3 linked regions of the Rattus norvegicus genome follow. The protein of the gene in region 3 purifies or fractionates together with the protein of the main gene of each other region. This does not show direct contact. Links are inferred from orthologs where the notes say so. Each region holds a gene or a part of one and is shown on either strand. Other genes may lie near its edges. The genes, in order: Reps1, Ap2b1 and Aak1.

Region 1 (3,649 bases), on a different chromosome or scaffold from region 3:
TTTGCTTCGTTCTAAGGATCACTGCAGTCATTGTTTTTATATTTTGCTGTCAGAGGTTTTACAAATGCAAGTTCACTCTTACTAAAAAAATCAGAGCTCTGCTCTGTGGCGTCTCTTCAAGTCTGTTGTCCACGGAATGTTCCACTGTGTTTTAGCTGATTTCCTTTCTGTTTCCCTAGTAAAGTGTTCGAAGATTTCTACATCTGGGAATATATTTGCTTGGCTTTCTTAGCACATTTTTCATAACTTTCTGTTGCTTACATAAATGCAGTCATTCTACATGTTTATATACTCACCTTGCAAAACCATATCCAATAACCTGATCATAACAATGTGTGGTTTGCTGACTTCTTACCTTTTAAATATCCTCAAAAAACACAAGTTTACTTTCAAGGAAAAGTAACCTAGCGATCTCGGTCCATGTAAGCGCATAGATGGATCCTGGACTGAGGAAAACTGTTTCATTGCAGGACCAGACAACAGTACGAACTGTAGCCTCAGCCACAACTGCCAATGAAATCCGTAGGCAATCCAGTAGTTACGATGATCCCTGGAAAATAACAGATGAACAAAGACAGTATTATGTAAATCAGTTTAAAACCATTCAGCCTGATCTGAACGGATTTATTCCAGGTGAGTCGTTGAGAACAGAAGGTCTTCTGGATGGGCTGGGACACAGTGTCAGTGTCATTATCGACAGATAGACATTGCTTTGTTGATCCTCCATTTTAGTTATTACTCACGTGACTTGTCTCAAAGGACTTTATAGTCACCGGGAAATAAAGCATGACTTTTTTAACATTATACATAATGTTATATTTCCCAGCCTAAGATGATGTTCTTGGATTTGTGTGTTTAGAATAGCACTAAACAAAACTGTTTTAATATTTCAGGGTCTGCAGCTAAAGAGTTTTTTACAAAATCGAAACTTCCTATTCTTGAACTTTCTCATATTTGGTAAGTGTAGTATATTATTAGTTGGTCCATGTTGGTTGTTTCAAAAGAATTTCTGGCACCCTAAAACTTTCAGAACCTTAAAACTAGGATTGGACTTGACCTCTGTGGGTGCTGGTGGAGAACCCAGTAGGGCCGAAGACTGAGCCTCTCTTCCTAGGCCAGTTAGGGAAATCGCTGTGAGCTGACACTGGAGCTCTGTTTCTCCTGCTGCTAGTGGACTGCAAGAAAAGGCTGTTACTTTGCCTGTGTCATTTCTCCTAGTTGTCATCAAGTTTATATCTAGCCAAAAAAAGTAAGCACAAGGCTTAGCTCTCACGTCATACGTAGACTAAGACTCTCGCAGTAGCCGCCACAGAGTTGTAATTAGTTCATGGAACACAGCTTATAACTGCAGGTTACTTTCAAAAGTGGACCGCCTCCTAAACACTGTTTCTACCTTGTACCATTACTCTTTTCTAAGGCCGGGCAGAGTGGTAGAGGCTTTGGAATCTCAGCTTTCGGGAGGTGGAGATGAGAGGATTGTGAGTTTAAGCTGTATAGTGAGACTGTCTCAAAAATAAAACACATATACACATGGATTCGGTATAGGGGACAAGGACAGCAGGACAGAGGCTGTATTTTCCTATTAAACTTTAGTCAATTTATTTTCTTAAAGTCTGAAAGTGTTGAACTTTGATAATAAAAACAGAATTTTAAATAAGTTCCATATGTTTATTTTATATACTTCAACTAAATAAGCTCTATTAATAAAAATGCATCAAATTAAAGATAATATTTTGATGACTTTAATTTTGGAGGCTAGTTTTCCAGTCAAAAATAATAAGATGTTGAAAGGATCATACCAGGAGGGCTCAGTTGTCTCTCACATTGATTCTTCGTTATAATTTTGACATATTTGCTTTGTTACACCTCTTTGCCCATGTGGGGTTTTTAAAATTAATGATTTTTAAAATTTTTTTCTTGTGTGAGAAATATTTTGTCTTCTTTTTTGATAAATAAGAGGCTCCAAAGCAAAATGTGGTGATGATGCATTTGTCTTCCAGGGAGCTCTCAGACTTCGACAAAGATGGCGCGTTGACACTGGATGAGTTCTGTGCTGCTTTTCATCTGGTAGTTGCTAGAAAAAATGGCTATGACCTACCAGAGAAACTCCCCGAAAGCCTGATGCCCAAGCTGATTGACTTGGAAGACTCAGCAGGTGAGGTTGGTGGCCACCAAGAGCTGACTATGAGCTTCAGTGAACATGGTACTTCATTCTGAGAAGGAAGTCAGTTTAGTAGCTTAAAGCGTTTTAGTAAGTGCACAGATTTGACCAGGCATAGAGATGAACGCCTTTTATCTACCACTTGGGAGGCTAAGGCAGACAGGTCTCTGACTGGTCTACAGAGCAAGTTCCAGACTGGACAGGACTTCAGGATAAACTCTGTTTCAATAATAGATAGATGATGGATGGATGGATGGATGGATGGATGGATGGATGGATGGATGGATGATAGGTAGGTAGATAGATAGATAAATAGATAGAGATAGATAGATGATTGATAGATAGATAAATAGATAATGGATGATAGATAGATAGATAGATAGATAGATAGATAGATAGATAATAGGTCGGTAGGTAGATAGATGATTGATAGATAAATAGATGATTGATAGATGGATGGATGGATGATAGGTAGACAGATAGATGATAGATAGATAAGATGATAGATGGACGATAGATGATAGATAAATGATAGAGAGAGAGAGAGAGAGAGAGAGAGAGAGAGAGAGAGAGAGAGAGAAAGGTGTGCAGACTTGCTGTGGCTAGTTGGGTAGACACTGAATTTGGGCCATTAGGTATCAGCTTTAATAGTGGTACATGGGACTGGGCATGGTGTATCCCCCTTGGAATGCCAGCACCTGGAAGGCAGAGACAGGACGATTTCTGAAAGTTCCCACCTAGGTTTATAGCATTGACCTTGTCCCAAGTTAAAATGAAAAGAGGAGACAGAAAGAAAAGCTTTCCTTATTACCCACAGGGCCTGCGTCAGACTCAGAGTGAGAATTCTCAGTGGTACTTAGTATTTTACTATCCTAAATGCATGCTGTATTGTCGAAAGTAGGTTATGGTGTCAGTCATAAATGTTTTCTACTTAATATGTCTTAGTATCTTGAGGGGAGTAATCTGTTTCATTATTAGACCTTTATAATGTTTTTTTCAATGACTACAAAATCTGGAAATTTGGAATTTGATTTTAGATAATACTATTTATGTATGATAATATGATCTATATTTACTGGTAGCTTTCTGTAAATGGAAAGAGTCTATAAGTGTTGAGTATACATATGTTTTTCTTAAATTCCAAGTGAATAAAAGGTACTGGCTGTTACGTTCCCAGTGAGCCTATGTGTACAGCTGCCCATCGTCTCAGTGCTCCTGTGCAAGCTCTCTTTCACATATGGTGACGAAGGTGATTCTTCAGGAGGGCAGTTATGGCTGGCTTTAGCTCCTAAGTACTGTACGTTTACTGTACGATCACATTAGGCATCTAAGAACTACGTAGTCTGTCTTTCTCATCCTCACCTAGACAATGGGATGTCACCCAGAAGCACTTGCAGTCACTTTCCTCCACAGTACTGTTTCCTTGGTCAGATTCCGACCCTGTCTTTGCTAATCGTTTCTCTTTCTGTGTGAAGAGTGCTGCGAGTG
Region 2 (4,320 bases), on a different chromosome or scaffold from region 3:
CTCTGAGCCATCTCTCCAGCCCGTTTTGTTTTTCTTTTCTTTTCTTCTTTTTTTTTTCCCCCGGAGCTGAGGACCTAACCCTTGTGTTTGCTAGGCAAGTGCTCTACCACTGAGCTAAATCCCCAACCCTTTGTTTTGTTTTTCAAAGACAGGGTTTCTTTGTGTAGCCCTGACTCTCCAATTCATATTGTAGACCAGGCTATCCTTGAACTCACAAAGATTCACCTACCTCTGCCTCCTGAGTGCTGAGGTTAAAGGCTTATGCCACCACACCTGGTTACCTTGTTTTTTTTTTTTTGTTTTTGTTTTTTTTTAATATATAACAATTTATTTATTTTATGTATAGAAGTACACTGTAGCTGTCTTCAGACACCAGAAGAGGGCATCAGATCTCATTACAGATGGTTGTGAGCCACCATGTGGTTGCTGGGAATTGAACTGAAGACCTCTGCAAGAGCAACCAGTGCTTTTAACCACTGAGCCATTCTCTCCAGCCCTGCCGTGAGTTTTAAGTTTCAAATCTGGGGGCTGGAGAGATGGTTCAGTGGTTAAGATCACTGGCTGCTCTTTCAAAGGACCTGGGTTTAGTTATCAGCTCCCACATGGCAGCTCACAGCTGTCTGAGATTCCAGTTCCAGGGGACCGAACACTCTCACATACATACACGCAGGCAAAACACCAATGCACATTAAAGATGTTCAATAGTAGAGTGAGGGAAGCCTGGGTAGGAGAACCACTAAGCCTTACTGTCAAGGTATATATATAGATAGAGAAGTTCAAAGTGCTCTAGAGGCAGAAGCAAGAGGGGCTTAGTTTCAGGCTTGCTTGAGATACACAGCCCAATGCTGGTTTTTCTTTTTAAACACCAGTAGTACCAGTTTAGTTTCCTAAAGAAACCTGTATCCACTAAGTGTTTTGGGTACCTTATACCACGCAAGCCTACGGGCGAGGCAGGAAGGGGGCGCTAATAAGTTTCTCCAGTCTTGTACAACGTAGGGATTCAAACTCAGATCTGAATACTTCTTAGCATCTTTGAGTCGCTAACTCCTAGTTCAGCTGCCCACCTGTACTTCTGGTTTCTATCACCTCTATGGGCTTCTGAACCTTACATGCAAATTAGCCGAGGTTTGTGTTTAAGCATATAGGATATCTCACACAGGTTTAACAAAATTCTTGTTCATGGAAATAAATCAAGAAAATATCTACGTATTGAAGATATCCTTTGGAAAAGCCACTGCGGGTTTCCTTAGTCTGCCCTAACCCTGAGAAAGGTAAACCTTTCCGTTGCTGAGGCGACAGACACAACTTGGCTGTTTGGTTCTCCCGCGCACCCGGATGACGTCAGGCGGCGAGATTCTCTTACGCCAAAACTTCCGGCCCACCATCTTTGTCCCTGGCAAATTGGGTTTTGCGCAGTGTCTTAGATCTAGAGAGAATCGTGACGGGCAGGAAACCATTACACCACCTTCCCGGCTGTGCTCTCTGACTGCCGCCGCCACCCCGCCCTTGCCTCCGGTGAGTTCAAGGCGGCTGGCTTTGGGGTGTGTCCCTGACTGGGGGTAGTTGTGAAGGAAGGGAACCCCAAGCCGGGTCGTAGGCGCAGGAGGAAAGGAGAAACGGGGAGCGTGACGGTTGAGGATGGAGGGAGTCCTCGGGTGTGACCGTTGTGAGGGAAAAGCTTGGAGAAAGTACCTCTTTCGTAGTGACCGTGGTGGGTTGGGGCTGAGCTCCGGTGTAGCAGCGATAGTTGGGGGCTTCAAAACGAAGCAAGGTTCGGAAGACCGGCTTGGGTAGGGCTCAGGCCAGGGGTGTGGCCGCTGGAGGCCCAGGGAGAACCACCTAGATTTCCCGTTTGGCATCTGTTCATTGAGAAAGAAGCTTGGACGTGTCCGTCCAGCACGCCTAGGGAGAAAGGATTCCCGCGACCGTTTGGTCACTGAAACCTCCGTTGTCACCCGTATTCGGAGGCATCTCTCCTTATCCTGGACAGTTTTCTTGACCGGGTCTTGACCTGCGGAGGGAAGTGGGTAAAGAGAATAGGGGACTAAATAATGTTCTTCGAGAAAGGAAGGAGAAACTTGCGTAATTGACCTCCTGTGTGAGAGGGGGAAGCCAGTGAAAGTAAATCTTAGCCTGGAATTGTTTTTCTTTTTTTAGCTCCCTTTATTCCCCGGGGTTATTAGGAGCAGTCTAGTTTGGGCAAGGCTGTAAAAGTCTACTAGAAGTGAAAAAACTGGAATTTCCTGCCATTTCTTTATTCTTTGAATTCTCAGGATGTATTAGTATTTTGAGCAGCCCTGTTTAGAGGAAGGCTCTTATTAAACTCAAGCAGTTTAGGTATGAAGCAGTATGAATCTGTCATGGATGCTTCGCTGAATTTTTTTTTTTTTTTATCATTTAGAAGGGAGATTATTTTTTTAAAATGGCCAAACTCTTTTGTGACCTTTGTGGTTTAAAAGACAAAGGACACACTATAAGCACAGCAAGGCAAGTTAACTGAAAAGAAGGTGGTCTCAGAGAGGAACAATCTAAATTATCACCTGCTTTCCTTGTGTAGTTCTACTGCTCAGCCTCAGGGTGCACTTACAAGGTATTAATAGAAAGCGGCAGGTGAAGTAGGTGCAGCCACCAGTAACACATTCCCGGGATGACTAAGTGAGGCGGGCGGACATGTAAAATGAGAGCAGAGTAGGTGTCTTGCAGGGGAGACTCCCTGAGAAATAAAGGGGAGTGTGCTCTGCAAAAAAGCTCCCTAAAGTTGAGTGGTAAATTAATACAAAGTAAACATTCTGAGAAAATAAGACTCAGAGAAGTCCCTCACATCCCCTTCCCCTGTAAAAGGTCATTGCTTTCCTCTTAAGGCACACATTTGAACCAAGTCAGACAGGGAGCATTCAGAGGACATCATCCCCATTTTTCTTCTTTCCTCCTAGGCTTAGGTTTCCCCAAATGTCTTGGAATTTCATAACAGTTGGGTGTAAAACTGTTGGGCTTCTTTCTTTACGCATAATACTATATTAATGAATTAACTTGTAGTTGTTTAAATAGAAGCCAGAGGTGGATTTAGCTTTTAAATGTTTTATTTCTGATAAGCTAATTAATCTGAAGCTGCTATTGTCCTGGTGTTATGAACATTTTAGCCAGAAATGGTCTTCATACCACTCATCCTTATAAGCAGAGGTTCCTGGAATGTCACTAATGCTTTGCAGTTTACTGAACTCTGGCTAGTTATTGACTTCATGTGCAAAGAAGGGCATAGTGGCCTTGCCAGTGCTAACGTTGGCTGCCATTTCCCAGACAACTACTTGAAATTAAGACCTTACTAATTTGTTTCTGACTGTATTCTACCCAGCCTGTTAATCTTGGTTTGCTGTTGAGTTGCTCTTTGGGGAAATTGGAGGAGGGGAAGGCTGGGAGGAGAGAAAGGACGTTGACAACCTATATTTGGCAGAAACTAGGTTATGTTAATCTAGATCTATACCCTTGTACTGTGAAAGGCAGTGAAGCAATACTGTGGGCTAGGACAAGTTCAAGGATTACTGCTTTGCCTGGTGGCTGCTCTGTCCTTTAACAATGTCCCTAGGCCACACCTTAAGTCAGTCAGTGACCTTTCAGGTTTCATGTTGTATAAGGTGGTGTAAGTTCAAATTCCATTGTGGCTTGCTTATTTCTAGGGATTTCCTGAAAAATTTTGCCCCAGTAGGATTTTGAATTTTGAAGCACTAGGCAAGTTGAAGTTGTATTTTTCCAGTTCTATTGTGGCTTTGTGTGTGTGTGTGGTTTCTACTGTGGGCACCAGTTTTACACCCTATACTGGAGAATTTGACTGAATATTTGGCAAGTGTTTGGGAGGGTCTTTATTAAAAAATAGTTATATGAATTGTGAGTTGAGAGTCACAGGGACATTAAGGTTCTGTCACTACCACTCTTTCTCATTTTAATTAAATACTTAAAATTCATACAAATATATAATGTGTTTAAGTCTAGGCTGCTCCCCCAGCCCCCCCAACCCTTTCTTTCTACAGTGCTTTTGTTTAGACTGTTTTCATTCTCCCTTATCCCCCACACCTCTGCCCCCGCCTTAAGGATAGACTGGATGCCTTGTTTTTCTGCCTGTATGATGGCAATTATTTCATCACAATTATTGACTATGGTGTCAGTTAAATGAGTGATATATTTACCTGCTTTTTTTTTTTCCTTTTTTTTTTTTCCTCCTCCCTTTTGATGATGGAGAGGCCTTATACCTGCTAGGTAAGCACTCTACCATTGAGCTATATCCCTAATCCAAAATGCCACTGAAGATTGAGCACAGGATTTTCT
Region 3 (3,649 bases):
AGGCAGGAGCATTAGAAGGTCAGTGTCATTATTGCCTACATGTATTTTTTAAAAGGGATCAGTGTTGGGAATCTAAAAAAGGCAAAACTAAATAGATAAAACCCAGGCCTATATTGCTAGTGCCTGTGATAAAAAGGAAGCATTTATTGTATGGGGTACAGGAGTTTGAAAATGTTGGAAACAGTCCGTATCATCGCTTTAATGGTGATTACTTGAACGTATAAGCTTGTCAACATTCACCATGTTCTACACATTTAAAATTGGTTATGGTTATCATGTAAATTATGCCTCAAATGAAAACAAGGGATAAACAGACCCAATGACCTCACCTTGAGTTCAAGTTTACCTGGGGAAGTAACTTTTTTACCTTCTCATTTTGGAAAGTCTTTTGAAGGATACACAATTTTGAAAATTACACTTATTGGTTAACATTTATTTTGTGTTGTATGTGTGTGAGTACATGTGTGGAAGTCAGAGAATCGCTTATAGGAATTTGTTCTCTTCTTGCACTGGTGAGGTCCCTGGAATTGAACTCAGTTTTTCATGCATGGTGGCAAACACCTTTACCCACTGAACCAAGCTTGCTGCCCCTTGAAAAGCATACTGTTAACAAGATCCTGATGGTCTTTGTTTTTATGGTGAATGTTTAAAGTGCGGGCCCCTAAGCCGTTGTCATGGAAAGCAGTAAACGTTGCGGTTGCTCTATAATCTCATTGCATTTCCCCTTTTCTTTACCTCTCTCCCAACCCAGAAAAACTAATCGAGGGACTCAAATCTCCTGACACTTCTCTTCTGCTCCCTGACCTCTTGCCTATGACAGATCCTTTTGGCAGCACTTCCGATGCTGTGATTGGTAAAACACGGTCTATTTCTTCAGTCATGCCTGCTATGGGGGTTGGGAGAAGCTCTGGCATGGGGATTGGGGGTGGAGGGCAGAGGTGACCAAGACCTCTGTAGCCTTTGTGCATAGTGGGAATACAGCAGTCCAGACTGTTAACTCCCTTCCTGCTACTCCAAAAGAAGTGACTTTTCCCGTTTTCCATGCACACAACCTGTATCTCTGGTCATCACTGATGTTCTGTGATTTCTCCAGTAAATTTCATGAGTAAGGAAGAATCTGTGGAAGAAAACCTTTGTGAAACAGTTGATTTCTAACTGGTCTTTGGAACTTCACCGATTTAATAGACTTGAGCTGATTCGTCTTTAGAAGGCCAAAGCTTGGAACACTACCCATACCAGGATGTCTGATAAACAGGGCAGTTGCCTGGCCTGCTTACTCAGTTACCTAAACCTGAACTCTTGAAGGACTTAGCCCTTAGACTTTAGTGCTAGCACTTAGGAATGCCATTACCTCACAGAAAGTTGTCTTCATCTCTGCATTGTGATATGCAGAGCCCTTCCCTCCTACATCATAGGGTCAAGTGGGGGAAATTTGAGAACTGTGCATTAGATTAGAGGATGTTTATTCCAGGTTTGGCTCAAGGAGTGGGGGGGGGGGATTGCTGAAACTAATGATGAATGAAGCTGTTTTGATTGTTGTTGGCTTTTTGAAGCCAACTGTATATAGCCAGGCTGGCCTCAAACTCATGGCAATCCTCCTGTCTCAGCCTCCATAGTTATTGGTACAGGTGTGAGTCACTATTGCCTGTCTTGAAGCCAGTCTTTTCTGACATGGAAGAACGTGTTGCTTGAAAGTAGCTTGTATCCCAAAGTTATTTGTAGGGGCCAGTGATCAGCGTACACTCCTGATGGTTAACCTTGTGCACGCATGCTCAGCCATCCAAATGCAGCAGGAATAGGTGCACAGGCTGTGCTTTGCATCTGGCCCGAGACTTGTGGAAGTGAGCCTTCCCAGGTTTTCCTGAGCAGCCTCTGACTTCTTCCTTCTCTCATCCCTTCCTCTCCACTGTTCATGCCCTGGTACAAAAGAAAAAGCTGATGCTGCTGTTGAGAGTCTCATACCTGGGCTGGAGCCACCTGTTGCCCAGCGCCTCCCATCTCACACGGAATCTGTGACTTCAAACCGCACAGGTCAGTCAGGGAGCTGCAGAGCTGGTCAGTGCAGGAGCCTCAGAGCAGGGCTTCCCACCTGTGGCAGATGAACCTCTGTTTATTTGCATTCTCGTTGGTTTTATAGTGGATGTTATGAATTATTCTTACAGTCTTGCTTCTGGATATAGAGTATATCCTTGTGCTTATGAACTGAATACTTTTTGGAGCCATGTTTTTCTTTTTTTCTTTCTTTCTTTTGTATGGAATAGAGTCTATTCGGGGCATGGGGAAGGGAGTTGAGAGGATAGGAGAGGGAGGGGCAGGGGGGGGGAGACGAAAGGACAGATTAAGAGCAAGAAAGCAAGAGAGCTGGAGCCATATTTTTCTTTAGAATGACTCCCTGATTACAGAATTTGCTATTCATTACCCTTTGCCCAGAGCTGAGGATATAGCTCAGTGACAGAGTGCTTGCAGAGCATGCACAGAGTCCTAGGTCTAGTCAATCCTCAGTACCAGAAAGGGGAAAAAAGACTGTCTCCACTGGGAGCAGGTTCCTCTGCCTTCTTAGCAGGAGTCTGCGCAGACAAATGGCTGCCTCGGCATGTCCTCAGCATTGGTTCTGTGGAGCTCAGCCCTTCCTGTTGACAATTCTTTCCCACATCAGAGCTTCATCCTCTAGAGTTGACTCTTCTTTAGCTTGCAGGAAACATTGAAATCATCCTTGGACCCAGTATTGCTTTGAGTCTTTCAGTCTTGTCTGAGTCCTCATGCTTTGATATAAGACTGTCTGCTGGTGCCCCTTATGTGATGGTAATCAAAGCTGGGCCTCTCCTGTTCCTCACTTGGATGTTTCTCCAGGAAACACTCCAATGTTTTATCTCTGGGTTTTCCCCAACTCTTTACTGAAAGAAAGTAGCAAGAGGCATTTCAAAGGGGAACCAGTGTTAGCACGTCAGTGTGATTCCTGAGTGGAAAAGTTAAGTGAGACTCTAGCCTCAAAGTCCTTTCTCCAAACAGTGTCTACCGAGAAGTGTGTTTGAATCACAGACTCGTTTATTGTTTAACGAACAGTTTCTAAGCTAAAAATCTATACGTATGTGTTACTGCCAAATGGAATCTAGGATACATACATGTTTTTGTGCTTAAAAGTCCAGAGAACTTAACATGTTTCTTTTGATTTTCTTTCTGTATCTTGGCTTGTATATATGGCCTGTAAATGCAATAATTTGAAAGTCAAGCTCTAACCTCACAATATTGTTGTGTGCTGTTTAATGCCATCGTTGCCTGGAATGCTGGTAACTGGACTCAGACTCTCTCACGGGGGAAGACTCTCTCCTTGACTGTTCTCTGCTTTCTAACCCTACTGCTGACCTTCTGGACGAGTTTGCCCCCATAGCACTCTCTGCTTCCACTCATAAAGGTAAAGTCTTTCTTTTTGGACCCACATGTATCCCTGAGCAGAAGAGTTGAACAGCTCCTGGGGACTTCCCTTATCAAAAGTCTTTGTTAATAAAGTGTTCAAACTGTCCATTTCTGTAGAAAAGATGGGTTTGTAGTCTTTTACGGTCCTCTCACAGTAGTTAATAAGCAACTGCAGACAGGTGCAAGGATGGCTTTCTGACAAGGACTGGGATACATACATTCCATGTTACCCTTG

What was found.
Region 1: the proteins of Aak1 (region 3) and Reps1 purify together in Homo sapiens (affinity purification with mass spectrometry; 3 studies listed by BioGRID and IntAct, counting the BioPlex papers as one, with this or other methods). This does not show direct contact. The link is inferred for Rattus norvegicus from reciprocal best matches to the Homo sapiens genes AAK1 and REPS1.
Region 2: the proteins of Aak1 (region 3) and Ap2b1 purify together in Homo sapiens (affinity purification with mass spectrometry; 4 studies listed by BioGRID and IntAct, with this or other methods). This does not show direct contact. The link is inferred for Rattus norvegicus from reciprocal best matches to the Homo sapiens genes AAK1 and AP2B1.

The regions. Positions count from the first base shown.
Region 1 is NC_086019.1:14,562,480-14,566,128, forward strand, and holds part of Reps1 (ralBP1-associated Eps domain-containing protein 1), read left to right. Parts: intron 1-470; coding exon 471-633; intron 634-893; coding exon 894-957; intron 958-2,000; coding exon 2,001-2,155; intron 2,156-3,649. UniProt on the Homo sapiens protein: May coordinate the cellular actions of activated EGF receptors and Ral-GTPases.
Region 2 is NC_086028.1:68,599,325-68,603,644, forward strand, and holds the start of Ap2b1 (AP-2 complex subunit beta), read left to right. Parts: upstream 1-1,398; 5' UTR 1,399-1,515; intron 1,516-1,567; exon of another isoform or gene 1,568-1,711; intron 1,712-1,909; exon of another isoform or gene 1,910-2,023; intron 2,024-4,233; exon of another isoform or gene 4,234-4,251; intron 4,252-4,320. UniProt on the Homo sapiens protein: Component of the adaptor protein complex 2 (AP-2). Adaptor protein complexes function in protein transport via transport vesicles in different membrane traffic pathways.
Region 3 is NC_086022.1:120,987,520-120,991,168, forward strand, and holds part of Aak1 (AP2-associated protein kinase 1), read left to right. Parts: intron 1-751; coding exon 752-853; intron 854-1,929; coding exon 1,930-2,031; intron 2,032-3,301; coding exon 3,302-3,412; intron 3,413-3,649.